4 linked regions of the Tamandua tetradactyla genome follow. The protein of the gene in region 2 binds, or shares a complex with, the protein of the main gene of each other region. Links are inferred from orthologs where the notes say so. Each region holds a gene or a part of one and is shown on either strand. Other genes may lie near its edges.

Evidence for each region.
Region 1: SNRNP200 (region 2) and LSM6 share a complex: the UniProt entries of both Homo sapiens proteins name them as parts of the U4/U6-U5 tri-snRNP complex. The link is inferred for Tamandua tetradactyla from reciprocal best matches to the Homo sapiens genes SNRNP200 and LSM6.
Region 3: SNRNP200 (region 2) and LSM3 share a complex: the UniProt entries of both Homo sapiens proteins name them as parts of the U4/U6-U5 tri-snRNP complex. The link is inferred for Tamandua tetradactyla from reciprocal best matches to the Homo sapiens genes SNRNP200 and LSM3.
Region 4: SNRNP200 (region 2) and PPIH share a complex: the UniProt entries of both Homo sapiens proteins name them as parts of the U4/U6-U5 tri-snRNP complex. The link is inferred for Tamandua tetradactyla from reciprocal best matches to the Homo sapiens genes SNRNP200 and PPIH.

The regions. Positions count from the first base shown.
Region 1 is NC_135348.1:21,885,932-21,892,901, forward strand, and holds the start of LSM6 (U6 snRNA-associated Sm-like protein LSm6), read right to left. Parts: upstream 3,011-6,970; 5' UTR 2,883-3,010; intron 2,849-2,882; exon of another isoform or gene 2,574-2,848; intron 2,362-2,573; exon of another isoform or gene 2,237-2,361; intron 1,373-2,236; exon of another isoform or gene 1,269-1,372; intron 1-1,268. UniProt on the Homo sapiens protein: Plays a role in pre-mRNA splicing as component of the U4/U6-U5 tri-snRNP complex that is involved in spliceosome assembly, and as component of the precatalytic spliceosome (spliceosome B complex).
Region 2 is NC_135343.1:2,444,306-2,451,807, forward strand, and holds the start of SNRNP200 (U5 small nuclear ribonucleoprotein 200 kDa helicase), read right to left. Parts: upstream 3,016-7,502; 5' UTR 2,885-3,015; coding exon 2,840-2,884; intron 2,392-2,839; coding exon 2,228-2,391; intron 683-2,227; coding exon 511-682; intron 1-510. UniProt on the Homo sapiens protein: Catalyzes the ATP-dependent unwinding of U4/U6 RNA duplices, an essential step in the assembly of a catalytically active spliceosome. Plays a role in pre-mRNA splicing as a core component of precatalytic, catalytic and postcatalytic spliceosomal complexes.
Region 3 is NC_135335.1:33,959,359-33,966,370, reverse strand, and holds the start of LSM3 (U6 snRNA-associated Sm-like protein LSm3), read right to left. Parts: upstream 3,001-7,012; 5' UTR 2,810-3,000; coding exon 2,789-2,809; exon of another isoform or gene 2,316-2,788; intron 580-2,315; coding exon 469-579; intron 1-468. Other genes in the region: XPC (DNA repair protein complementing XP-C cells), read left to right, coding at 3,101-3,203. UniProt on the Homo sapiens protein: Plays a role in pre-mRNA splicing as component of the U4/U6-U5 tri-snRNP complex that is involved in spliceosome assembly, and as component of the precatalytic spliceosome (spliceosome B complex).
Region 4 is NC_135328.1:182,093,981-182,101,950, forward strand, and holds the start of PPIH (peptidyl-prolyl cis-trans isomerase H), read right to left. Parts: upstream 3,021-7,970; 5' UTR 2,945-3,020; coding exon 2,879-2,944; intron 2,532-2,878; coding exon 2,467-2,531; intron 2,137-2,466; coding exon 2,113-2,136; intron 1,882-2,112; coding exon 1,837-1,881; intron 842-1,836; coding exon 799-841; intron 1-798. UniProt on the Homo sapiens protein: PPIase that catalyzes the cis-trans isomerization of proline imidic peptide bonds in oligopeptides and may therefore assist protein folding. Participates in pre-mRNA splicing.

The sequences.
Region 1 (6,970 bases), on a different chromosome or scaffold from region 2:
CAGCATCTGAGAAGACCATCAGACAATGAGAAAAAGAGTTCTCTAAATAACTTCTGAAACAGCGGAGGACCTAAGCTTATAGGAAGGCTCAACACTAATTCACTCCTCTGTCCAAGGTAACCAGCAACTTCCTTTCCTTCTCTCCAAAAACACAAGTGAGTCAGTGCACTTCTTTCTTACCTGTGATCACACCAGCAGATTTTGTAATTGTTTTCATTGCTGACCAGCAGGTTCTAAGCTTCTTGGGGGCCAGGAAAATACCTTACCCATTCTATATCCTTGGGACACTTCCCAAATTTGTGGAAAAGACACTCAAGGCCAATGCCAGGCAAAACCCCTGTCTCTTCTTCCCTCACACTTTGGGCAAAGTGGGTAGTACAGTATCATCTACACATTTCAAAAGCTATTAACGTGGTAATATCTCTACTACTGACCACCAAATAAGAGAAAAGATAGTGGAGAGAAAATAGAAATGTTTCTGTGTTGGTCAAAAACTAGCTGCATCAGAATCAACAGAAATGCTTGTTAAAATGCAGAGTCCTGGGGCCTACTCCTATCCAGGTGCTTTAGGCAAGGGGTACTGTAATTTTCATTTCCTAAATCTCCCCGAAATAATTCCTATACACAAGCAGCTCTCAATGAGAAGGCAATTCTGCACCTCCCACTCTCACCCAGGGAAATCTGGAAAAGTCTAGAGGCATTTTTTATTGTAATGACTAGGGAGGGTGGTCCTACTGGTTTCGAGTGGCTGAGTGGGTAGGGGCCAGGGATGTTGCTACACATTCTACAATATACATGACAGCCTCCACAACAAAGAATTAAACAGCCCAAAATGTCAACTGAGGTTGAGAAACCCTGCTATAAGCCTAAAAATGATAATAATCATGATGCCAACACTGTTCCTGGTCTTAAAGCAACAAGGAGTTCTTTTTAATTCTTCAGGTTATAACTAATAAAAACCAATAAGTTCTAACCAAATGATGGGGTATAAATTATAACTTATTAGGGACATTTTATTCCAAAACACAGAGAATTTGAAAACAATTGTCAAAATCTTCAAGGGGTTGCCATTTGTTATCATGGATTTTAGTCCCGGCCATGAAAAAGGTCACTTCCCAATTTTTCAGTGTTACAGGTCCCTCTGATGGTTATCTTTGTTGTACAATTCTAAACTGATAAAATAACCCAGGTGACATAATGTCTTTTTAAATTCTAATACCTATTATGCCACAGTGAGAGAAGCCTGATGCAGCAAAAAGAGTACTCACTTGGGAGGCAGGAAACCTGAGTTCTAATTCCATCTCTGCTACTTAATTAGCTGTGTGAATTGGATAACTCATCCTTTCACCTCTCATGGCCCCAGGTTCCTCACCTGGAAAATAAGGGAGTTATGCTAGATGGTCACTTAAGTCTCTTCCTGCTCTAACATTTGGTTAGCTTATGCCATAACGCCAATAGTACACACACACATATGCAAGCTTCTGTATGATTCTTGCACAAAATTCAAATAAGCAGAATTACCAGACACCACCATGAAAAAAATCATTCAAAAGAGAGGCTCAACTTTCCTGGTTGATGTGTTAGAAATGTTTCAAGCGACCATACTTTTGGTGAAGCGGGAACATTCACGCATGGATGATGTAAACTACTCAAACTTTTTTTGAAAACAATTTGGCAATCTATATGAAGACTCTTTAAAATGTCCACATCATCTGATCTAGTAACTCTACTCCTGAGAATCTAGTCCGAGGGAATAATCAGATACACAGTTAAAAAGAGAGGCTCACCAAAGTATAATCTGGGACGTTAAAATAAGGCAAAAACTCAGAAACGACCTAAATGCCCCACAGTAAGAAAATGGATGAATAATTTATGAGACCTACACAATGATGGAATAAGCAATCAGAAGAAAATACAGAATTAAGACAATTATTTAGTAAGAATTTACAAATATAAATAGAAAACTGTATATACTGTTAAGTACGGAAAAAATAGGTATAGTCTTAACTCAAGTAGAAACAAATCCATAAATAAAATACATACATGGACTGTGGGTGGAAGAACTCAGTGAATATTATTTTCTTCACTGAAGTCCTCTGCATTTTCCGTTTTTCTACAATAGTCATGTATTATTATGGGGAGGAGGAGGCACACTAAATCACTATCAACATTATCTGCATCACTCTAATCCTGGATACCCCGAAGTAAAACACTTGCTATGCACGCGTGCACGCACCCGTACACACAGAAAGTCTCCGGTAATAGAACTCGACTCCATACGATTAGGGATATCCCCCATCCGACAACTCGGGAAGGTGGGCTGGAGCGGGGAGGTCCACTCCTTAATTCCTGGGAGTCAGGAGCAGCTAGTCCGATTTGAGCAGCTAGTCCGATTTCAGTGGAGTACCCGTGATTCCCTGCTGCCCTGGGAACCAGGCAAAGCCTGGGCCTGTGTTCAGGATCCGTTTTCCCGCCGAATCCCCGGGGAGCGTCCCGGGATCCGGTGAGACTTCGACAACCGGGAGAGGTCTCACAAGCAAAGTCAAGGCAGCCAGGAAAGTGCCCTTCCTCACCACGCCTCCCGGTTCCAGGCAGCTCTGGGGAAAGGGTTCCAGGGAGCTCAGGAACCTCAACGCCGACAACCAGACATCTCCCGGCCATTCCAGGCGCCGAAGAGAGCCAAGGGGCGCGGCGTCCCGCAGGGACCGACCCCCCGGCAGTGTCCGGGGCCCGCTGTCCCTCTCCGGGTCCCTAATCCCGCTACCGCCAGGCCCTTCCCGGGCCTAGCTGGGGAGAGAGAACCCTGGCCCTCGAACCCGGGACTACGCGCGGCCTCGCCTTCAGACCGCGCGACCGCACACCCGCGCGGCCACCCCGCTCACCTCGCGGCCGGGATCTAGCACCTTACTCCTGGCGGCGCGCACGCCCGGCCTCCGCCGACAACCGCCGCGAAAGCTGAAACCGCCGAAGCAGCGGCACTTTCCGCCCCAGCCAATCAGTGCTTCCTCCAGCTACGGCAGCCCGTGAGGACCGAAAAGGCCGGTCCTGGCCCGCGCGCGCAAATTATAGAACCTCGGTTTGCCGAGATCTTGCCGCCGGGTTCAAGTCGGAGGCGGTGGTGATCTTTCTTTTAACGGAAAGCCTAAAACAGTATTAACAACCAAACTAAAAAACCCAAGCAAATAAAGAACTGGAAGTGACAGGATTTCTTTGCAGAAATATAAGAAATAGCGTGAAGTCAGGAAACTGGAATTTACTGCTAAGGTATGTCGGGGCATACCCAGAAATGTCGCTGAATAATCTCATGAAAATAAACAAATGAAAAGGAGCCTCAAATCTTTAAATCCATCTTTGGATTTTGATTTAAATGTGTGAAAACAAACTCATTATTAGCAATTCCATAGCAATGTTAATTGAAACTAAAATAATTCGTTAGTAAGTAACTATATTGTAATGGCATAAATTGTGTTACATTACAAACAGTAATTCTAATTGGAAATGCTGTGCGGACATTATTTAAGTGCTGCTATGGGAACCTGGTTTGGAATTTTGCATGAATTCTCGGTATTCTTGCTATTAGTGAAACAGCAGAGGAAAAGGGAGACAGCTGTTACACCAACATTGAATTCCTTTTTTCCTTACACACATACCCTCATCAAGATAGACTTTAATCTTCCTTATGAGTTGTAACACTATAAACAAAGTGCTACCTTTAAACAACAGATCTTAAATCTGTTAAATGTTATAGGATATAATATGCAGATTTTTTTAAAGACAAAAGTGAGTATCCCCCCTTACACACACATACACTCCTTGTAAGCCTCTCTTAGCTGAAAGGTGAAGAAGTGAGCAGTTGACTGATCTTGTGAACAGAGAACAACTGGGGGTGATTTAGCAAAGAGCAGACTTCCTTAAACCCTTCTCTAAAAGAGTGGTTTGGGTCAAGACCAAGCAATTACAGATTAATTGAGAGAGCTCTATTTGAAGTTCTTGCAATATAAAATATAATGTAAATTTAAATTTTTTTTAAAGAAAAGTACTATTAAAATCAAGTAATTAGCTGCAAAGAACAAACATAATAGAATATAAAGCTCTGTCCCTAAAATCCTTCTTTGCAAAAGACATCAGATTGTCCCACATTCCTCACTGATTGTTTTCTTAAATTTTGATTCATAGATTTTTCCCTCGGTTTCCACAGAGCCCTGGTGGAAGCAGTAGATTGATGTGGAGGACTGGGGGTGGTGAGGAATTTTTAGAGCATAGTTCATCTACAGGGCAGCGGCAACCTTTTTCAAGGGGCACTAACATGAATTACTTCATGTACCACCAAAGCTTATCAAAAATATGATTGTCCTCAGAATCCCCTCACCAGCTTAAAATTGGTTTTTACTAACTCACGAGGCAACTTTCAGTATTTCACTATTTTTTCCTTCAACATCATATATTTTACAAAGAGAATATATGTGGGATTTTTCTGGTTTACTACCAAGAACTGGTCTTTGAAACCTGAACATAAATACTAACTTATTAAGAAGCCCTAAAGTCATAAAAACAGTGTGGCACAGCTTAGTTTGGCTAAGTTTATCATTGCCTCTATATAAGTTTCTATCCAATGAACTAAAAATCGTTAAGATCATGACATCAGAAATCGTAATATATGAATTCTGCCTCCTCCACTTCTAATTGTAAAAATCTTTCTTGGTCCAGTAATTAAACTTATCTAAGGCTTTTTTTAAAATCTTAAAACGGAGGAAATAAAAGTTAATTTTTTTACCCTAGAATAATGAAATGATTGAATGAGAAAGAAAACATATACAAAAATGCTTTGTAACGAGAACAGCATTTCAAACATAATCTGTTATTCTTAAAACAGGCAAATACTAGTATAAAAATACTAAAATGAACTCAGCCATTTCATTATTTATTGCACATTTCTACAAGTTTTCATACCTTTGCCTTCAAGTAACTATCTCCATTTATGTTTCAGATTCAGAAACAGAAACAGAAAGTATCATTTTTAGCTTGTCTTATAAAACACCCAACAGCCCGGAGAACGTGTGGGTGATTGTACTATGATGCTGATGTGGGTAAAGATAATAAACACAAACATGGAATTGGATTGGTCACATTCCCAAAGCAGGTTTTAAAATGTTGCATCAGTGTTAGGCATTCGATGAACACTAGTTGCTCTTGCCTGAGCAGTGCATTAACTGTTCTGAAGAGCTGACAGGGGTAGAGCCTCCCTTCCTTGACCTTTCAACACTGGACATAAAAACATGAAAGCTATGACATCCTGGTTTTGGGTATTTTAGGCCACTCTTACCTACCTTTCATCATGGGATGTGAAAATAATTTGTTAAAGGAAATGAGAAGAAAGACATTCTATAACTGCAGAATATCTTCTGAGAAGTGATCTAAACTTGTTGACTGGTGGACAAATTTCTCAGAAAAAGCAATAAGCCTTTTATTTTTACCAAAAGAAGGAATATGTCATAGTTTGCCAAACTGCTGTGACAAATACCACACAAAAGTTTGGCTTAAATGAACAGAATTTATTGTCTTGCAGTTTTGGAGGCTAGAAGACTTGCTTCCTCCCACTTTGGTACGATTTTTATGCTGGCTTGCCTGCACCTGGGGGTTCCTTGGTTTACATCTCTGCCTCCTGTCACATGGCAATGTCCTTCTTTATCTTCTGGGTTCCTGCAAATTTCCTGCTTTGGGCTCCTTACTGTGGTTCTCTCTTTATAAAGCCTCCATGAATCCAGATTTAAGACCCACCCTCATTCGACTGGGCTACACCTTAACTAAAAATAGTATCTTCAAGGGGTCCTGCTTACATGCGTTCACACTCACATGCATGCAGATTAAGATTAAGAACATATGTTCGTTGGGGAACATAATTCAGTCTACCACAGATTTATTCGATAGCATAGGCAATTATTTTAAGCTAGAACATTTGAGATGTGTAAACACATGTTCGAATTTCATCAATCCATCCTTTTGGTCTGAGTTTAACTTCGAAGGCGATGGACTCTGGGTCTGAGCTCCTGGAAGGAAAGTCTGCCAAACGCTGAAATGCTTTACATTCTACTGTGAACTCTAGAAAACCTCTCTCAGCTGTATAATTTAACGAAATCTGTGTGAAGCTGCCCTTGTGTTTTCAACAAGATGAACTTGAAAGGTGAACATTATAAGTGGGAGAAATTATTTATAATTTGGTAATAAAAGTTTATATCTAACACTCCAAATTTCATACATCTGCCGTGTGCCGGCACTGAGATATAAAACAATTGAAGTTGCCTTTACATTTGCCCTATATGAAAGGTCATAAATTAGAATGATAGCGTTCATCTTCTTTCCTAGCTCACAAAATTTCCATATTAACATCTTCACCTCAAACATAAATGGTTACCCGCTACAAAGAAAAGACTTGGATTGGCCTTTATGAATTATAGTTTATGTGGAAATCTGTAGTATGTAAGCTTGCTGTTCAGCTCTCAGTGAAGTGCATTTATTTCAGTAATGCTAATTCTACCACAGTGAAACTCATTGGAACTGTGTGGCCAATGTATATAAAGCACAGTATGTAAAAATTTAGGAATATTTCAGATGTCAGCAACTTATTTCCAAGGTATGGGAGTCTTTAACTTTTAAAAATGCATTTCTATGTCTTTAAGAGATTTCTGTGGCTAACATACCTGCTACCAAGTTTATTTAAAATACGGCTTTCAATTTTCAAAATATTTTAATGTTTCTTCCAATGAAATAAGATAATATATAGCTTTTAATTTTTTTCAACTACACAAAGGCTGGTAACCACAACTAATTTAATCAGAGCATATTATAACTAAATTCGTTGTGGAATATTAATGAATTGGACCAGTGCTTTATGTTTAGGCATTCAAAAAAATGTTTATAGCAAAAAACAAAAAACAACCAAACAGATGTCCTTGATTTTCCAGGGTGATAT
Region 2 (7,502 bases):
TCCTGCGTCACACCAGGCCCTGACCATTTTCATTAATGTGGACCAAAAATGACACTCAAGAGTCACACAACTTAATAAAGATAAGGTAAGTGGGAGGATGCAGCTTCCATGACATCTCCAAGTGGGAAAGGCACTCTGCCACCCTCCCCTAGCCTGTCACTTTTGGGAATTCTTTGTCCTCACTTCCTCTATCTCTCACTTTCCCAGAGCCTCTCAGAACTCTTAACCTAACCGTGCTTGTGTAAGGGCTAATAGCAGATTCTGTGAACTACCTGCGTTCCCATCCAGATACCTCCCCTGAGTCTCGGGAGAAGAATTTAACCATTCTGTGCTTCAGGTCTCTGTTTCATAACAGGGAAAATGAATAACAGCACTTATCTAAGAGAGTTTTTGCAAGGACCAAAAACACATAAAGTGAACTCTCAGTAATGGCCCACACAACAAATCCAAAAACAAGATTGTTCTGTGTCTCTCGGAACTGACCCTTTCCCTGGCTCTCTGATGCCTTACCTGGTCCCCAAGGGCGGCCTGGATGAAGCTGAGCAGCACCTCATAGGTCTCCCGGGTCTCTTTGGTCTTGGGCTTATAGATGATGCCCACCATCTCGTCAATGCCCTCTGACAGCAGGGTATAGCCCTTCATCTTGTTGATGTCATGCCGGTCCTCGTCACGCTTTCTTCGCCTAACAGACACACATTTGGCATTAAACAGGTAGACTCTTCCCTCTCCAAGGCAAAACCAAATCAAGACGGCACCCCTCTCTGTCTCAGCTTCATGGCGCACACCCAACATTTGAAAAGAAGAACCTACATCTCAGCAAATGATTCCATGTGCCCTTAGTCACCTGCGGGAAACACTTCTTTCTTTACTATATATTACTAAAGTAGTATAGGTTTACAGAAAAATCATGCAGAAAATATAGAGTTTCCATATACACCTGCCCCCACCCCATTATTAGCACTTTGCACTAGTGTAGTACCTTTGTTATAACTGACCAAAGAATATTATTATAATTGTACTTTATAACTGACATTTTTTGATGGGACACAGAAAAGGAATCCCCTTATTAGATACACTAAATTTACAATGGAACATTCCCCTCATTAATTAAAAGAAGACAACTCTTTACACTTTGTATAACATTATACCATCGGATTTTGACTTGTTTTTCACCGCTCAGAGGCATTTTCTTTCCCTACCTTCAAAAACTGAAGAGTCAAGATAAATCTACTGCCACTGACTCCCAACAAATTACAACAAAACTGGGACAGGCGGAATACTCTGTGAAGTAGAGGGCCAATGATATAAAACTGTTTGAAATGTAACTCCCTTAATCAAAACAGGCATAGGAACGTCTGAGACTTTATCACGAGGAGGAAACAGAGATGTTCAGGGGCAAAAGATAATGGTTTATTCGAAAGCTCCCATCCAAAACTTTCCTTTTCCACCCATTGCTATTTCCAGCACGATTTAAAACTGGAATCCTATCCACAGCAGATAGTTATATATGCTTGTCTGGCTTAAGGAGAAAATTAATTTTGCACGTAATTCTCCCCAGTGATCTGTAAGACAGGCCATTCTATTTCACCTTTTTTCTTTTCTTTTTTACAGAATATGAACCCACACCATTCTATCATTAAAAATGTCAAACTATTTTAAATGTTCTTGCTTAGATACTGCAAGTCTAAAAAAGCAAACTTTTTCTGGAGGGACTTAAACCCTGCAAAATAAAAGTTCTACATGTGTCTCTAAAAAAAAGATAATGGTGAGATAAAGTCAATAATTATTTAGGTTTTGAAATATATACCCCAAGAAGTACTCAAAAAAAAAAAAAGTTTTTCATACCAGTGGACGCTTAGGCGTTAGCTTAAGACTTAAAAAAAAAAAAAAAGTAGGAAGTGAGGAACAGCAAAGGAAAGTAAGGGCAGGAAGCCAGCAAAGGAATTAGAAAAAGAGCAACTGACTCAAGGGTCTCATAAATGCTGTGAAGATGAAGATGTCTGTGGACCAGAAAAAGATATGTTAGAAAAAGTTCCCAGAAAGTTATTTTCCACTGCAGCCACACTTGTTAAGGCCAAAGAACCTTTTAACTTTCAGGTACTGCTTTTACTTCCACCAAGGTGTCTGAATGACACTGACCTGTCTCTTGCACCAGGCGTTTCAGCAAAAATTCACTGAGAAGGGACTCTGATCTGGAGAAAAAACCTAGTATTCGCAGCGTACTCACTTGGCCCTTCTTTCCTCCTGCATCTGAGGTTTGGTCCGCTGAGCCTTATCTCCCATACGCGTGCCCTCCAATTTCCCCACCAGGGACAGCACCTCTCCTGTGGGTTCATCCCGGCGGGTGCGGTCAATAAGAGACCGGTCAGCTTGGAGGACAAGATTCGAATTCTGAAAAAATCACAATTTTATCGCAACTTTGACATCAGCTGGGCCGATATCCTATAACACAGGGATATCAACTGATGATGATAAAGGAAGGAGGCAGCTGTAGCATTTTATAAAACTGCACATGGGGCGAAGGGCTGAACTAAGTTCTATGGCCTGTCAACTCAGTCCAACCATCCTTACTCCTAGCAGAGCCCATAATAGGCCATAGGGAAAAGAGTGGGGGCCCGGCGGAGGGGACCTGTGCAAGGGGCAGGGAATGAACCCTCAGAGCCCCTGGCCAGGCCCGCCCGCCGCAGCCCCCAACGGGGTTATTCACAGCGCCGTGGACCCCGGTTTCTCCTCGGGTTTCCCGGCTCTCCCGTCGGCTTCCAGGCCGCAGCTCTGTTTCTCAGCCCCAGGGCCCCATCCCGCTCCTCCGCCCCGAGTCCTCCCGCCAGCCCAGACGCACCGCCTTGTACTCGTACTGCAGGCTACGGGCGGTCACGTCCGCCATGGCCGCGGCTGCCCCGCGCCCTCAGCGGATTCCTCCGCCTCACACCACACAGGGAACGGCCGCCGCTCTCCTGCCCGGAGAGATCGAACCACGCAGGAGAGACGCACAGGAGCAAAAAAAGAGAGAAATGGCCCCCTTCCGCTTCCGGGTCGCGCGCCGGAAGTGCGGGGAACGAGTTGCAGGCGAGCGCGCGCCGCCGTGTCCCGGTGTCTTTGTGGTCCCCCGGTGCCCGGGCCCCGCGACTCTAGTTCCGGTCTTGCCTGGGCATGAGCGCCCTGTCACCCCCGGCCCCTCAAATCCTGAGGAAGCGCACACCTCCGGCAGCCCCCGAGATGGGAGAGGGGCTCAGGACACACTAGGGGGCCGCTCGCAAAGAAAGAAGTCCTATTATGGTTGGCTGGTGAGCGTGCCTCTTCTGCGTGGGTGTTGTTTTCCTCTGGAATCGGACCCAGGCCTCCCCGCCTCCCCGCCCGGCTCTCTGCTCGGGAGCCCTTGAGCCGCGGTGCTGAGTGATTTTCGAAGTTGCTGCCCATGTGAGCTTTGCGAGGTTCTTCATCCATTTTTCTTAAATTCTGAGTAAAAGTTTGTCACTCACTGTGTTTTTATGGTACTTGAAGGGATGAAGGGATGGAGGGGTTCCAGAAAGAGTCGGAGTGGGAAGGGCTGCGTTATGGAGGCGAGACCCTGAGCCGAGGCAGGAAATGAAGTGAAAACAAGGAATTGGTGCAAGAAGCAGCGGCGGGGAAATGTGTCCCGGAGAATTCTCAGGCTCCTGGCAGTAAGGAGGTAACTTGTCTCCACGACATGTAGGGCGAGGCTAAAGCCAATTTATTGTAAGATTGAAAGAAAGACATACAGATCCAGGGACTAGAACTGAGAGTACAAAAATAAACCCGTGCGTTATGGTCAATTGAATTTTGACAAGGATGCCAAGATAATTCAAGGAAGAAAGAGTCATCTTGTCAACAGATGGTGCTGGGACACCTGGATAGCTACACGAGAAAGAACGAAGGTGGACCCCTACATCACCCCTTATGCAGACTTTATCTCAAAGTGGAGCACAGACATAAATGCAAGACCTAAAACTATTAAAATCTCTAGCAGAAGACAAAGGAGTAAGTTTTTGTGACCTTGGATTAGGCAATGATTTCTTAGATATGTCACCAAAAACAAAAGACAAAAAGACAAATTGGACTTCATCAAAATTTAAAACTTTTGTGCTTCGAAAGACACCACTAAGAAAGTGAGAAGATAACTCACAAAATGGGAGAAAATATTTGTAAATCATACATCTGATAAGAGACTAGTATCCAAAATATATAAAGAACTCTTACAAATTAATAATAATAATACAACTCGGAGATTCAGAGGGAGCAGAACAATGTAGCCATGAGATGCACAGAGTCTACCAGCCAGCAATCTTTGGAGGTGAAGAAGGAAAACGCCTCCTGGGGAGCTTCATGAAACCAGAAGCCAGGAGAGAAGGCTAGTAGATGATGCCATATTCGCCACATGCCCTTCCAGCCGAGAGAGAAGCCCTGACTGTTCACCATGTGCCTTCTCACATGGGAGGGAAACCCTGAACTTCATCGGCCTTCTTGAACCAAGGTATCTTTCCCCAGATGCCTTTGATTGGACATTTCTATAGACTTGTTTTAACTGGGACATTTTCTCGGCCTTAGAACTGTAAACTAGCAACTTATTAAATTCCCCTTGTTAAAAGCCAAAACAAATAAATAATAATAATAGTAACACAACTCAATTGAAAAATGGACAAGGGATTTAAATAGACATGCTTCCAAAGAAAAGATCTAAATGGACAGTAAATTTTAAAAATGCTCAATATCATATGCCATTAAGGAAATGCAAATTAAAACCATTTTAAATAACCACTACACACCCTCTACAATCTGTTTAATAAAAAGACAGACAATAGTAAGTGTTGTCAAGGATGTGGGAAAATTGGAGCCCTCATATGTTGCTGGTGGGATTGTAAAATGATACATCCACTTTGGAAAATAGATTGGCAGTTTCTTAAAAAGCTAAACAAAGTTACCATATGACTCAGCAACTCTACTCCTAGGTGTCTACCTAAGAGAAATGGAAACATTTGTTCACACAGACACTTTTACATGAAAGTTCACAGCATTAATTTGCAATTGCCAAAAAAATGGAAACAACCCAAATGTTCAAGTGATGAAGATATAAACAAAAAGTGGTATATCCGTACAGTAGAATATTATTTGGCAATAAAAAGAACTGTAATATTGGCATGACCCCCGTAGGGCTGGGGAGGAGGCTGAGCTTGCAGCTTGAGGGGGGTGGGGGCCCCGGACTCTGTGTCTGGAGAAGCGATGTGAGTGGAAGACTCAGTCCTTCCCTGCTGCTCTGATAATCAGGACTTTGGGCTGGACCTTTGGGCACACGCCGAAATCGCACGGAGCCAGGCAGAAAGCACACATGTGGGCTGACACGGATTAATAAGGAGCTCGGCAATTTGGCCCATGGCACACCCTCCCCCCAGCACAGTGTTCTGCAGGTCCAGTTGGGGACGAAAACTTTCATCGACAGTCCGCAATTCCAGGACCTAACGACAGCTCATAGCAAGGCGGTGTGTTCTTTTCGACAATTCATTTTCCTACAGCCCACCTCTCCAAAGAGTCAAGGTTGCATTTACCACAAGAATTTATCATCCAGATATTGACAGTAGCAGCGGCACTTGCTCACTATTCTAAGATGACAGTGGTCTCCAGTGTAACTGTTTCTGAAGTTCTGTTATCCATGTGTTTACTGCTGTGTGATCTGAACCCAGATGAACCCCCAGTGCCAGAGATGGCAGCCATCTGTGAAACAGCGATAAGTGCAGTTGAACATTTCGAGGATGGATTCAGAAGTATGCCATGGGATGAAAGTCAGAATACCTGCATTATAGTAGGAATAACTTTAATGTTTCCTTTTTTAATTTTCTTATCCAGCTGCTCTCCTGTCAGACTTCATCTTTGTGTGTGTGTGTGTCTGTATGCACTGAAGGGTGGGGGTCACATTTCATTCTTTTTTCGTATGACTATCCTGTTATTGCAGCACCATTTGTTGAATTTTGGGGGTGGGGTGCAGTGGGGAAGTGCATGGGCCGGGAATCGAACCCCAGTCTCCCGCATGGCAGGCGAGAATTCTACCATGGAACTACCCTTGCACCCCCAGACTTCATCATTTAAACTTTATTTTTGCTTACCTCCCTCCAATCATTCCATGCTCATCTGAGAAGACTTAAGTTCTTCCAGCTTTGGGCAATGACTGCTTTTAGAAACTGTAAGGTAGTTACAAGAGAATGGCTGCCCAAGATTCAGAATTATTTATAAAAAAAAAGGAAGCATGTGTATTATGTGCCCAGGTCTTTATTCTAACTTGGCTGTGAGACTGAAACCACTCCCCACTGCTCTGATGTACCGAAGGCGTCATCTGGGTGGGGGCCCGGACAGGAGATGGACGTTCAGTTGTCACATTGGAGGACACAGGCTTACCCCGTAGCAGCACCCGTGCTTGTCCAAGCCGTCCACTGCTGGAGAGCTGAGGGCACATGGTGACCCTAATGCTCATAACTGATGTGGCTGTAGAACTGGTATTGAATTTACAGCATCAGCAGAACAGAAAATGTGATGTGCTTTATGCCTGTCCATGAAGGGATGACTTCTTGTTCTACAGAAAATCGAAATTGGAAGTCATACACACTTTATATTCCAAGATAGGGTCTCAAACATTTTATAATTTTCCTTGAAATTATTAGGAAGCTTGGAGTTATTACTTACTCTATCTTCCAATATACTGTTTAATATAGCACTGAATAACTGGGGCAAATTGTCAATGGATGAATGGTCACCTAATAGCGCTGCTAGCAATTTATTTATTTTTCTTCAATAGAATTGCATAAGCCAATGAGTTAGTTGCAGGGATTAATCAGTATGGGAAACCACCTATTGTAAATTTAAAGCTGTTTCTTGTATATATTTTTGGGATTTGCTTCACTGTTTGACATCAAATGTAAAGCTCAGAAGAGGGACTATTTTGCCATGTTCAGTTAAAGTGTACAGTCTGTTACTGGTTGACACATTAATTGATCCAACTTGTGCAGAATTAATAAGCTAATCAGATGGTGTAGCTTCAGTCTGCTGCACATGATACTGACCGTCCTAGAGTTCAGAGATGGACTGGGGACCCAACTGTATATGGAGTTTAAGAAATTTATTTTCCAGATGCAACCGGATTTAACTAAATTTTTTTTCACGTAACACACTTGACAGATGATAGAGCCATAATGTAGGAGTCATAATGGGTCAAAATTTACAAAATAAAGTACAGTTTTGGTGTGGGAGTAGTAAAAAAAAAACAAACATAAGTGCTATAACGTAGATGAATCTCAAAAACATTATATTAAGTGACAGAAGCCTGTTCCAAAAGAACACTTACAGTATGAATCCGTTTATTGAAATGTCCACACCATGGGAGTCTATAAAGACAGAGAATAGATGCTGTCTATTCTCTGACCTGAGAAAGGGGTGCCCAGCAGGGAGGGAGAAATGGGGCGCAGGGGTGACTGCTAATGGAAACAAGGTCTCTGGCT
Region 3 (7,012 bases), on a different chromosome or scaffold from region 2:
TGGACACACACACATGAATATATATGTGTAACTATTCAAAAAAATATCTGAAAGAATACAGATCCAATTTTTAGCAGTGGTTACCAATAGAGGAAAATAGGATTTCATCTGTTACACTATATATATCTGTGTTGTCTAATTTTTTTTACAAAACACATTTATGCAGCAGTAATTTTTTAAAAATTAAATAAGAATGGAGGACAAATGTAATTTACAAATAATCACAAGGAAAAAATGAAGGGAGTGAAAACATTTCATAATAAACACATTTCTGTAAAGAGAAAAAAGTGTTAACATATATAAAATAGTTATATTTGGCTTGTAGAAATATGGGTGACTTTCTAACTCCCCCTCTTCCATGTTTCAAAATATTCTTGCACATTGGATACTTTCTACATTTCAAGGGGGTGGGGAAAGGGAGGGATGATACAGAAGTAGTCTAATTTCAAGATAATTTAATAAACTTACATGTAATCTGCCTCGAAGCTCTCGGTCGTTTCTCATTTTCACGTAAATTCGCTCATCCAGGCTGAGCCTGATGAGATCCAGGGGCTCCTCTACGGTGTTGGTAGTTTGTTGCTGATTGAGGAAACAGTAGCATAATACTAGGAATAGTGTAATGTTCCAATCACTGCTCTGCTATGTGACCATGGGCAAGTTACTTAGTCTCTGTATGCCTCAATCTCCTAATTTGTAAAACGGGGATTAACAGTACCTATTCATACTGTTGTTGCGAGGCTTAAATGACCTATATGAAGGCTCAGAACAGTGCCTGGCACATAAGTGCTATATAAATGAGAGAAAACATATACACAAAGAAAGGAGTTACACAGCAAAATAATCATGGCTATACCAAAGTCAGTGAGACCTTGTTCCCTCAAAATAATAAACTGCCTGACCCAATTTCAGGGTAAACGGAGCCACTTTCTGAGACTTTAGCCTTATCTCAAATATCATTTAATCATTTGTAAAACATTCACTTAGTGCCTACCACAAACCAGTCAGGATGCTAGGGAGGGATGTTCGTTAAAGTCTGAGGGAAGATTATGAATCCACCACAAGGAAGATTGAGTTCAAGGTGCCAAATGGACAGTAAGATGAAAATAGGTAGTAGAAAGTATAGACTACTGGTTAAAAGCACTGGATTTGGAGCAAGGCAGTCTGGGTTCAAATCCCAGCTTTGACCTGTACAAACTGAGATAACAAATCTAATTTTTTGCTTCCTTATCTGTAAAATGAGGATGCCACAACCTTTCCTTAAGGTTTCTTGAGAAGATTAAATGAGCCAATATATTTAAAGTAAAACCTGGCAAACAGAAAGCACTTAAAATAGTTATATTAATAATTAATATTATACATATACAAATATTAAATATTAATACAAATATTAAATACAAATATTAAATAACTGTTGGTAACATAGGTCTGAAGTTTCAGAGATGTCAGGGCTAGGATCACCTCGGGGCCATCCATATGGAAGGGAGGATTAAAGCCATGAAACTTGATAAGATTGTCCAAGGAAAGAGTTTTCAGTGAGAACAATCATGACTCCAGCACAGGCTCTACCTGTCCTTCAGATCAATGAGAAAAAAAAAGTCCTGACCTCAACTGGTGACTCTCTCACTATTCCAGTTCAACAAGTGTTCGTTAAAGAGCTGGACAAGCTACAATTTCATAGAATATAAGGCACCTGTCCTTAAGGAGTTCAGCCCAATTAGGAGAGAGGCATATAAATAAACAATTATAGTTCTATAAGAATATACACATGACAGAATCCTGCTGCTACTTTAGACTCAGTCTGAGATGCCCATTCTCTACCCTTTTCAACCTATAACCTTAAATGTTGCCTTTCCAAAGAGGTCTCCTGATCATCCAATACATTCATTCATAAATATATGGTGTTTCCAGCACTGTTATAAACCCTGATGGTAGAACAGTAAGCAAAACAAAATTCCTGCTCTCGCAGGGAAGACAGCTGTTATACAAAGTAGCACATACTTAAAATGAAAAAAATAAAATAAAATAAATAAAGAATGACATACTATGACGAAATTAAACAAGGTAAGCAGACTGGGGTGGTGGTGGTACTATTTGATGTAGGTGGCCAGGGAAATCCTCTTTGATGAGGTGAGATTTGAGTGGAAAAACTGAATAAGTTGTGGCCCGACATTCATCAGAAAGAGTATTTGGGGAAGAAGAGCAGGCGAAAAACCCTGTAAGGTCTCCGTACCCGGTCCCTTGTCTGTTTCCTTCATACCACGTCACAATTCCTATGTATCTCACACGTGTATGCCTTGCCCCAATAGAATATAAGCTCCACGTGGTAATGGGATTATGTCTGTCCCTGGTGCCTAGAGTAATGTCTAGTCACCGACAGCTGATACACACTACGTATTGGTTGAATGAGTGGATAATTATTATACTACGCTGAGTAATAACGTCACTAACTCAATTTTTTTGCCACACTTTCTATCAGAATCCTGACAGCTCCACGAGGCAGACACGGAAAATTATTCTCATTATCTACAGACAAGAGAAGGGAAGTGATGAGAGTCAGGAATCGCTGTTAGGCGCGCGGGCTTTGAACAGGACAGAACTGAGGGCCTGAAGCAAAACTGGAAGGGGATGCGGTTACAAGGGGAAGGAGACAGATTAAGCCTTAGTGGGCCAGAAAGAGGTGGTTCGTAAGGACACTTTCCCGTGAGCTTAGAGAAGGCAGCCCTGGCAAGTCGAGAAGGGCCAGGACTGGGAGCGCGGGGGAAGCCGCTTTAGACCAAAACGCACTCACCTGATCCACGTCGTCCGCCATGTTTCAAACCCTGCGCCCTTTCTCTCCTATCGCGAGATCATACGTGCCTTCCCACGCCTCCGGAAACGTGAGAACGCAAAAGCACCGGAAGTAGAAAGTATCTGTTTGGTTCCGTCTCTCTGCCTACGCAATTTACACTGGCTGCCGGGGCCGAGGCGGACCTTCCTCTGAGGGTGTGGCTTGGCCGTGGTGGAGGGGCGTGACTATGCCTTGCCCCACTGGGGCGGCTCGCGTGCCGCGACCGCTTACCGCGGTGTGGTGCGTCACTCGCAAGGCGAATCTCTCTCGGCCATGGGACGGAAAGGCGCTGGCTCTCCGGAGCCGCAGCGACGCGAGCTGCGCGGCCGGAAGGCTAAAGGCAAGAACCAGGCCCGGAGCGAGAGGAAGGAGGCAGGTGAGAGAGCGAGGGGACAGATACTGAGGGGGCTGAGAGGCAGGCCCGCAGTGCAGGAGCCGGGGTGGGGGAGGATGCTGTTCAATGCCCAGACGGAGGCAGGCGGAGCCTTGCCGGGCCGCTATGTCGCTGCCGGCCCCTCACCGTCCGGCATCCCTGCACGCCTTTGTCCCTCACGCGAGGAAGGATGCGGCCAGAGCAACTTCTTTGGAGTCCCATCTGACCACGAGCTCCCCAGCGTAGTCTCATTCCTGCTTAGCAGTGCCCACAGGGTAAAGTCCAGCCTCCTCTCCTTTGCTAAGGGCTGAATGAGGAAAAGGCATTGCAGTTATTTTATGAGCCCCCAGGAGACGGACCGCGATGTGGAGTGGTGTGGTGTGCTAACTCCCAGAGTAGCATCTTCAGCTAAATCTCACCCAGGTAGTTCCAACACGATTTTTTCAAGTGGATATTGTCTGATGTTTAACATAGACAAAGCAACGCTCTTGATTTTCCCCCTTTAAAACCTCTGACCTTTCCCCAGTTTTTGCCATCTCAATAAATGACCCCTTTACTGTCTTGGTAAAGCAAACCGTTCTTTTTCTTACATGCACAAGTCCTGTCAGTTCAACCTCAGAAATTTATCTCGTCTGTCCTTTTAATTTTGTTGGCACAGTTCTTGTGCAGGCCACTATCGACTTGCAGGTGCGTGGCTGCTGTTACCTCTTCACTGGTCTTTCTGCTTCCCTGCAGTGGGTTCTGCACCCAGCTGCCAAAATGATCCTTAAAAGAAATCCACACGTTTCCTGTTCCTACATCAAAACCTCTATGGCTTCCCATTGCTCTTGGCATAAAATTTAAATTTCTTAGCACAGCCTACAAGACCCTACATGATTTGGGTGCTGCTTCCTCTCTTTTCTCCTTGCCAGGGATTCTCTTTATTTATTGGCCAACTTGCTGTTCCTCTAACATGCTAAGACATTTCTAATCTTAAGCCTTTGTTATTCCTTCTGCCTAGAATGTACTTCCATGGCCCTTGTGGCTGATTTCTTGTTTTCCTTCAGGTCTCAACTCATTCTTCTATTCCTTCAGGTCTCAACTCAGAGTCACTCCTTGAGTTTCAGATCTAAGGTAGCCTTCCACAGGTATTCTCCTTCTTTGTACCCTGATTATTGCTCCCACAGCCCTTGTCACGATCTGTTAGGGTCTTATTAATTTATTTGCTTCCTTTTTGACCACCCATCTTACTAGAATTTAAGCTCTTTGAAAGCAGAAATGTCTTGTATTTTGCTGTGTCCATTTTGTCCTCCCTCCCTCCACACACACACATAGTAAGTACTCAATAAATATTTTAAATCTTTGCAAAATGCATGCTGCTTTAGGATTTCTAGAGTTCCTGAATGAAATAACTGGATAGAAGATTAAAGTAGGTAACCAACAAGGGCTCCTACGATACTAGATTCTTTGATTCTGTACATGTTATAAGCTAATTGTCCCTTAGAAAATATTCAAATGGTAATAGTTTCTTAGCTCAGAAGGTGATTTATATTATGCTTAATTAATACTATGAGTTCCATTTTATTCATTCAGGCACTCATTTATTCATTCAGATAGCATTTTTTGAATGCCAGTATATGAATTAGGTGACATAGAAGATGGAGATTTCATGGAAGAGCTTAGAGTATAATACTGTTGATATGACATTTGTACATAAAATATCCAAGGCAGAGTCCGTTAAAGGTCATGAAGAAGGTACAGAAGACTGGCTTCTGAAAGATTGATCAAGTTCGACTGGAGAGATTGAGAAATGCTCTCTGAAGGGGTTATGTTAGAGCTACAACTTTAAGAATGGATAATAGTTTAGCAAGCAGCCATGAAAGGTGGGGAGTTGGGGCATTCTAGACAGAGGGAATGTGTTCAGAGTATGTTACAATTCAGAAAGTAAAGATTTTAATCTGATGGTAATGCTACCTTCCTGGGTAGCATTCTCAGCTCAGCATTTCAGCTGTGCATCACTTAGACTTTGGTAAATTTACATGCACTTTGGTAAATTATTTTTGGACAAATAACCTTTCTAAACCTCATCTGTGAAATGTAGTACTACCCTGCAAGGTAACTGTGAGTTTTCAGTGAGATAGCATATAAGGCTTATGGCATGGTGCGTGGGCCCATGTTAGGTGATCAGTTAGGCTAGCTAATATCATTCAACCTAAATGTAGCTAAGAATGTACCCAAGCTTCAATCCAACTCTGCCAGCTAGGGTAACTAGCACCAGGTTTTCAAAGCTGCTTCCAGGTTATGAAGAGTTAAGGTCTTTGTGGTGGTTGGGTGAGGACTATAGATTTAGTGCATATGCCTTGGACTGCAGGTGGCCCTACTTGGATGATTGTTCAGTGTAGAAATTCGTATAAAACTCTGGATTTTAACAGCACTCCTGTGCATGCAAATGAAAGGAACACTTAGTTGCTTCCATCAGGAACAAAGAAAATAGTCTTCCACATTGTTTCCTTGCTTCTTTTTGGGCACCTGTAGTTTCTTCATATTTCTTTGTATGTGTTCATTGATGTAATTAATTTCATCAACATATAACACATATTGGTTGAGCACTTTTTTTATTTCCACTCACTGTTTGAGGTATTGAATTTATATTAGTGGACATGACAGGCAAGGTCCCTGCTCTCATGATGCATATAATCTTTGAGGGGTGGGTAGGGGAGATAGTAAGTTTAAAAAAAAAAACAGCAAATTCTTGTGGTAATAAGAGCTATGAAGAAGTTAAAACAGGGTGCTGTAGTAAAGTTGGCATGGGGATACAGATTTGAGAAGAGGGAACTAAGTTAGAATGAGTGGGCAGGGAAGGCCTCTGTGAGGTGGTGACATTTAGAGCCACTTATGGAATGATGGGAAGAAGCCATTCATAGAAGTTCTGGGGTGAAGTGAGGGTTGGGGGTGTGTGTGGGAATTTTAGCAGAGGAAACAGTAAATTTAAAGGCTCTTAGAAGGAAAGAAGTTTGGCCATTTTGAGAAATAGCAAGGAGGCCACTTGGCTAGATGCAGTGAGAAATAGGAGCCATGAGTGATAGGAATTGAGGTGAGAGAGGTGGGCTGGGCCTGAGTCATGTAGGAGGGCAAGCTCAGGAGTTTAAATTTGATTCTAAGTGCTGTGAGATACCCCTGGACGGTTTAAGCAGATTTCCTTATTAAACATGGATGCCCCAGCAAGCCACAGTGATTAAATTCCTGTCCTGTTGAAATAACCACATTGACAAGCTCAAGGGAAAGGCCATTTAGACTCCAGTTCCTTAACTTCTAATTTCATAAGGACCAAAAGACACAACAAAAAATAAAGGAACGAAATAAAAGTCATTCATGTTTCTACCTGCCACAAATAATCATTAGTAACTTAACTATTGGTGTTTTTACTTCAGTCTCTGTGTGTGTGTGTGTGTGTGTTTTAACATAGTGGAAGCATACTGTAAAAACAACTTTGCGTGCATAACATTATATCATATATTATTTTCCTCTGTCTTAAAAGATGACTGAATTATATTTCATTGGATGACTATACCATAATTTACATCACAGTTAGTTGTGTATGGATGTTCATGTTGGTTCTTTTGTGTTTGGAGATTATGAATCATGATCCTTTGGACATCTTTTTGACTCATGTTTTTTTGTGTTTTGTTTTTCTTTTTTTAACTCCTCTACCTCTCTTTTTTCAAAAAACACAGATGTATACATCTGTGCTTTTAACTGCTTGAAACAAGTGTGATAAGGAAACAAATGATGCCTTTGAAGTATCTTCCCCTCTCTGTTTTTAGATTAGTAAA
Region 4 (7,970 bases), on a different chromosome or scaffold from region 2:
AAAAAAAGTCTCCGAGATCCAAGAAAACAGCCATATGACTGTACAATGACCAAATAATATTAATATGAGTAAAGCAAGGCCATGAACATAAGTGGGTGGTTAAGAACAAACACAGGTTTGAGAAAGAAAAAAGGTGATTTATTTGGTACCCTCCAATGGGATGGGAGGGGGAGAAGCTTGATATAGAGGACACATACTGACTAGTCAAAAGAAAGGTGTGTTGATCAGTGAAGGAATATTCCACTGGGCTCTCCCAATGAGCAGAAGAAACATCCTTTCAGATCTATCTACCTCTCTTGTCCACTAATCAACTTCTGATTAAAAACTCAGGTTTTCAGGCACTGTGATACCAGGAATGGAAAGGAAAAAAGGACATAAGCATTCAATTTATTGGAAAAGGAGTTACTTCTATCCATTTTAAGGCATCTGAGTTCTAAATAAGCTTCATGTGACTTTAATTAGATGCCCCTTCCCCTCCCCATCACCTCCACCAGGAGAAAAGTCAACTAAGTCTGAGGGGATGATTAGAGCTGATCATCAATAGGTATGTTGGGAGAGTCCACTTTCTGGACCTAGAAGACAGAGGTTTGGACCATGGATGTAAGTCATTCAATTGAAGTGCTGATGTCCATCATCTAGCAGTAGTAGTGGCAATCCTGAATCACTATCCCCATCACTATCTCCCATCAAACTTAGCTATTGTTTCAAGACTTAAGACTTGGTCCCCTAGCAAAACAGAAGCAGCAGCGACAACAAAACAAACCCATAGGTCTTTGATAGGAGAGGAACAATACTTACATTAACAAAATCTCCACCCTGTATCATGAAATCCTTTATGACCCTGAAACAGAGGGAGCATAAAGGATTCTGAGAGATGATTCTAAAGTTTAGAAACATGGTTTTATCATTATAGTACCAGATTAACAATTTTTTTAAAAAATACAATACTTATCATTCTCGCTCACAAAATGATTACTCTCTCCTGGAAAGAGTGAGCTGAGAAGATTATTAACAAAAAAAGGAGTTTTAATTATAAATAAGAGCATCTTAGAGTAGACCGAAGTGCATGATCCAGTACTTGAATAGTAACAAAAGGAAGGGGCTCAAGCCCTGCAGGAAAACCACCAAAATAATCACCAAAGCAAAGGGTAGGTGAAGGGCTTGATGTAAATTGTGGGAAAAAAGAAAACGGAGAATGTATGTGAAATGCTAACCCATGAGCTATTATACACATAAGGGCTCAATAAATGTTAGATACTGTCCTGACAGGATCCTTAACCTTTCTTAGCCTCAGTTTCCTCACCTGTAGAATGTAGATAATAACACCTACCACCTCACAGTTGTGTTGTGAGGCTTTGGCCTCACAAAGACCATGGCTCTAAATGTCCGATATGCTAATATCATTACTAACCACAGTGAGGACTTTGAGGCAAATGCTAAATGAAACAAAGACACCTGAGTGTTACCACACTCCACTTCCATCTGGCCCAAGGAATTTGACTATCCTAAGGTAATCATACATGGTCATTTTTAAGAACTAGTTCTTAAATGTGGTATTTTAAAAATCAGCATTCATACCTACAAGGACATGAAAAAACAGAACATTAGAATTATGGGTAGCTGCTTCTTTTTGAAATAGCTTAAAAGAAGTAGTGGAGGAGTGTAAGTAGAGTTGGTATCTTTAATAATTCTTCAAATCAGTTGCTAAGTCAATAAAAAAATTTCTTCTCAAGATCCAAGAATTAGTTTCTGATTGTATTTTCCTCTGCCTTTACAGTCTAATGCCCCAAGGAAGTAATTCTTAAGGGCCCCAAGATGGCTTGCCAAAAAACTTACCTGTGGAAGGTGCTCCCTTTGTATCCTATTGGAACCCCATCTTTTCTATAACCAAAAAGAAAGAGATTTGGAATGACGACTGGCTATCACAGGCCATTCCAGTTTATCACACACTCCAATCAACAGGACTCTCCTAAAGAGGGGCGAGGAGAGATAAGGAAGGCAAATGACCTGAGATAGCCTCTTGGGCAATCATTCGATTCCCCAAGACCCTCATTGCAGCTCTAGGACACCCCTCAGGAACAGGAAGAAAAGTCAACCACAACTGAGACTGACCTGAATTCTCCCGTGCAGAACTGCCTGAAAACGAAAGGGTGAACAAGTCAGTCATCACATCATCACACATCCACGAAAACACTAATCTCGGGAGGGAAAGGCAGATATTGGAGCCAGCTATCCTAGAGCCAGCAAACCCGGCCAGAGGTCCAGGTACCGAGGTATGCAGATTAACAAAGTAAACGGACACAGGAACAATCAAATCGTTCTATTCAGACAAAACGATAACCAGAAGAATCATATGTCTCAAGGGCAGTGAATGGACAGAGACAGAGACACACAGACGTTTCCGCAGACTGACTTGGGCCCATCTTCGGGTGGGGGTAATCCGGTAGAGCTGGATCGTCTCCTTACCTAAAGTTTTCAGCCGTCTTAGGCACAACGTCTGCAAAGAGCTCAATCTTCATGCGACCAACTTCCTGCAACCAGCGGGAGATGGTCAGAGGGCCCAGTTTAAGACCATGATGGCCTCTGGGAGCAAGGAGCACGAACAGCAGGCCCACCTCCCCACCCGCGGTGCCGCTCGGTATCGCTCCCCCTCTGTCTACACAGCCCAACCTTCCGTTGATCCCAGCCCCTTCCCAATCAGGGGGTTAGAATCCGCGAGTCCTCTTCCTTCATCCTCCCACCAGGCAGGGTGGTAGGTTCTGGTCCTATTTCACTTTCTGGCTTCCCAAATCCGCTATCCCAGGCTTAAACAGTTCTGTCTGCCTAGCCCCGTGCAGTTCTCCTTCGGCGCAGGGCTCGGTGGCTCTCTGGGTCTCACCTGGCCGCCAATGCTGACATCAAAAAACACCACGGGGTTGACAGGGCTTGAATTTGCCACCGCCATGGCTCCGACCCGGAAGCAGAAGCCGGGAACGCGGGGTTCAGGCGAATCTAATCCCAGCCCTGCCGTCGGCGTCTGCGGCGCAGGCGCGGAAGAGGCGACCGAGGCCGAGACACGCCCCTGGAGCCCGCCCCCTATCCTGGTGAGCTCACTGGCTCCCGCGCCCAGACGTGTACCGATAACAGGTTCGCATTCTGTTAACTAACTTGGGTGTCCTGAGGGTTAGGGCAGGGGAGAAAAGCTGCTGTTTTTTTTGTTTTGTTTTGTTTTTTTCTGAATGTCCGCGGGCACCCGACTCACAGGGCTCTAAGTGCGGTACAAATTAGTCTCCGTTAGGCTAGGGGGTTTGGATTGAACAGTCTCCAAGGTCCTCACCAACTCTTGCAGCTGACTTCTGAACCTTCGCTCAGGTTGCTTCTTCCTTCTGACCACTAGTCTGTGAGCCCCATGAAGGCAGAGGCTCTGGTTTGTTCATCCTTCAGGCTTAGAACAGCTTGGCATATAGGACTTATTCAGCCCTTCCTTGAGATCGGGACACTAAAATTTTAGTTCATTCTGCCACGAGTTTACACTTTTGTACCGTCCAGTTCATTTCCCTCACAGCAGCTAGTGCTTTTAAAATAACTCTTCTGCTTAAAAACCACTCCTGGTTTCCCATCATATTTAGAATAGAATCCAATTCCTCCTACAAAGGCCTAAATTATCTGGCTGCCACCTACCTGGTCTTTTCTTGTACTACTTGCCAAATTACTAAGCTCCTTTCTGTTCCAAAGTTATTGAGATAGTTACTGTCTTAGGGTGTTAGGGCTTTGGTACTGCTACCTGCCTGAAATACTATTCCAGATCTTAACGGTGGGGACAGGGTATGCTCCCTGTAATTCAGGATTCAGCTGAGATATCACTTCCTTGGAGAGATTTTACACCCAATCTAAAGTAGCCATTGGTCAATCAGTGTATGTTCTTAATGCCATTCAGTATCTGAAATTATATTGTCTGTCTCTACATCTCACCTCCTGCCACACACACATTCGTTCCAGATAAGATATCAACTCCATGGAAGCACAGACTCTACTCGCCTGGCTGTTCACAGCTGTAGACTGCAGTGCCTACTACTGAATAGCATATAAGTATTCAATAAATAGATTCAATGAATTGGGTGAAGGAAGGTGACCTGGGTCAAGACTTGGAGTCTGTTTTAGTTTCCTGGGCTGCTCAAGCAAAATCATACAATAGTTTGGCTTAGACAATGGGAATTTATTTGCTCAAGGTTTGAAGCTGGGAAAAAGCCCAAATCAAGGTGTCATCAAGATGATGCTTTTTTTCTTCCTGAAGACCGTGGCATACTGGGGCTGGCTGTCATTAGCTTGTCACACAGCAAGACACATAGTGGCACCTCCTGCTCTCTGCCTTCTCTTCCTGTTCCATTGATAAGCAACTTCTCCTTTCTCCCCCTGTGGCTTTTTGTCTCTGTGCCTGAATTCTGCTTATAAAGTACCCCAGTAATAGGTTTAAGACCCATCTTGATTGGGCTGGGTCACAGCTTAATTGAAATAACCTCATCAGAAGGTTCCCACTCACAGGAATGGATTAAATTTGAAAACAAGTTTTTGTAGAGTAATTATAGCTTTAAACCGCTGTATTGGTTAGGGTTCTCTAGAGAAACAGAATCAACAGGGAACACTTCCAAATATAAAATTTATAAAAGTGTCTCATGTGACTATAGGAACACAGTCCAAAATCTGCAGGGCAGGCTGTGAAGCCGAAGATTCCAGTGGAGGGTCTGGACAAACTCCACAGGAGAGGCTCACCAGCTGAAGCAGGAAGAGAGCCTATCTCTTCTGAATCCTTAAAAGGCTTCCAGTGATTAGATTGAGCATCACTCATTGCAGAAGACATTTCCCTTGGCTGATTACAAATGGAATCAGTTGTGGATGCAGCTGACATGATCATGATTTAATTCTGTGAGATGTCCTCATCGCAACAGACAGGACAGTACTTGCCCCACCATACAAACAGGTACCACCACTTAGCCAAGTTGACACATGAACCTGACCATGACAGTCCACCCCTTGTCAACTTTGCAGCTCTATATATCACCTTAAACCATACCTAATTTCTAAATAAATTAAAATGCACATTTTTTTCTTTGACCTGACAATACTTAACTGTCCTGCATATAACTGGAAACACATTAAATCTCTCCAAAATAGGGTGCAAGTCCTTGGGTAATATTCATTCTTAAACTTGATAACTTACAACTTAAATAGTATAACATGAACAAAACAGCATTACAGTACTCGTTTCTGTAACTGATCACGTGGTCGTAGTTCATATTTATCACTACCTTCTTCCACTATCCATTCCATGTTCCCTTTACCCTCAGTAAGTACTTCATCTGGCCGTGGTTCTTCGCCTGGTGGGATGAACCAAACCTTCATTCCTGAAGTTTCAGACCCATTGGTAGACCTGCCTGGATTGGGCTGTTGCAGTTTTCCATTGATTTTAATCACAGGGTATGGTAGTACTAAAAGACGCCCTACGGGATCTCCCATATTCCAAGAAAACTCTTCTTTACCTCAATTGTGTAGTTGCAGTCCTATTTCCCCCTGATAGTCAGGGTCAATCACCCCAGACAGTAATGCAGTCCCCTTCTTGGCTTGCTGATCCAGGGGCATGAGTAGCCCAAGGTGACCAGGTGGCAGTCTTAGATTACAGTTCAATGGAATCATTATTGTTTCTCCTGGTGGAAGCACTCCCCCTTTTGAAACTAAAACCTGTATACCAGCAGAGCTCAGGGTCGCAGGGACAGGAAGCAAAAATTTTCCTAGTGGATCACTAGGGGTAATAGTGAGTGGTGCCACTCCCATTTCCACCCCTTGTTGATTCCTGGACCCATGGATCCTGGCTATGGGAGAAACAGCACCATACCGCGGATACTGATTCAGAGTATATACAGCTTCCTGGAGAACATTACCCCAGCCTTTCAAGGTATTGCCACCTAGTTGGCACTGTAATTGAGTTTTCAAAAGGCCATTCCACTGTTCTATCAATCCAGCTGCTTCTGGATGATGGGGGACGTGGTAAGTCCAGAGAATGCCATGAGCATGTGCCCATTCCCGCACTTCATTTGCTGTGAAGTGTGTTCCTTGCTCAGAAGCAATGCTATGTGGAATACCATGACGATGAATAAGGCATTCTATAAGTCCACAGATGGTAGTTTTGGCAGAGGCATTGCGTGCAGGGAAAGCAAACCCATATCCAGAGTATGTGTCTATTCCAGTTAGAACAAATCGCTGCCCCTTCCATGAAGGGAGTGGTCCAATGTAATCACCCTGTCACCATGTAGCTGGCTGGTCACCTCGGGGAATGGTGCCATATCAGGGGCTGAGTGTGGGTCTCTGCTGCTGGCAGATTGGGTGCTCAGCAGTGGCTGTAGCTTAGTCAGCCTTGGTGAGTGGAAGTCCATGTTGCCGAGCCCATGCATAACCTCCATCCCTACCACCATGACCACTTTGTTCATGAGCCCATTGGGCAATGACAGGAGTGGCTGGGCAAAGAGGCTGACTGGTATCCACAGAATGGGTTATCTCATCCACTTGATTATTAAAGCCTTCCTCTGCTGAAGTAACCCTCTGGTGCACATCCACATGGGACACAAATATATTCATGTTTTGCCCACTCAGAAACTTCTATCCACATACTTTCTCCCCAGGCCTCTTTGTTACCAATTTTCCAATTATGGTCTTTCCAAGTTCCTGACCATCCAGCCAAACCATTAGCAACAACCCATGAGTCAGTATACAAATGCACCTCTGGCCAGTTTTCCTTCCAAGCAAAATGAATAACCAGGTGCATAGCTCAAAGTTTTGCCCACTGGGAGGATTTCCCCTCACCACTGTCCTTCAAGGACACCCCAGAGAGGGGTTGTAGTGCTGCAGCTGTCCACTTTCGGGTGGTACCTGCATATCGTGCTGAGCCATCTGTAAACCAGGCCCGAGTTTTCTCTAGAGAAGGTAATGTGGCAGGAGTGCAGACCATGGGCATTTGGGCCACTTCTTCATGTAATTTACTTGTACCTTCAGGACCTGCTCTGGCCCTATCTTGTATATACCATTTCTACTTTAAAATAGAGTGCTGCTGCGCATGCTCAACTTTATGGCATGGTGGGTCTGACAACACCCAGCTCATGATAGGCAACTCAGGTTTCATGGTAACTTGGTACCCATGCTTAAGCTTTCAGTCTCTGCTAGGGCCCAGTAGCAGTCCAAAAGCTATTTCTCAAAAGGAGAGTAGTTATCTGCAGCAGATGGTAAGGCTTTGCTCCAAAATCCTAAGGGTCTGCGTTATGATTCTCCTATAGGGCCTGCCAAAGGCTCCAGACAGCATCTCTATTTGCCACTGACACTTCCAGCACCATTGGATCTGCTGGATCATACGGCCCAAGTGGTAGAGCAGCTTGTACAGCAGCCTGGACTTGTCACAGAGCCTCCTTTTGTTCAGGTCCCCATTCAAAATTAGCAGCTTTTCTGGTCACTTGATAAATGGGCCAGAGTAGCACACCCAAATGAGGAATATGTTGTTGCCAGAATTCAAAGAGACCAACTAGGCATAGTGCCTCTTTTTTGGTTGTAGGAGGGGCCAGATGCAGCAACTTATCCTTCACCTTAGAAGGGATATCTCGACATGCCCCACACCACTGGACACCTAGAAATTTCACTAAGGTGAAAGGCCCCTGTACTTTTGTTGGATTTGTCTCCCATCCTCTGACACGCAAATGCCTTACCAGTAAGTCTAGAGTAGTTGTTACTTCTTGTTCACTAGGTCCAATCAACATGATATCATCAATATAATGGACAAGTGTGATGTCTTGTGGGAGGGAGAAACGATCAAGGTCCCTGCAGACAAGATTATGACATAGGGCTGGAGAGTTGATATACCCCTGAGGTAGGACAGTGAAAGTATATTGCTGACCTTGCCAGCTGAAAGCAAACTGTTTCTGGTGGTCCTTACTAATAACTATTGAGAAAAC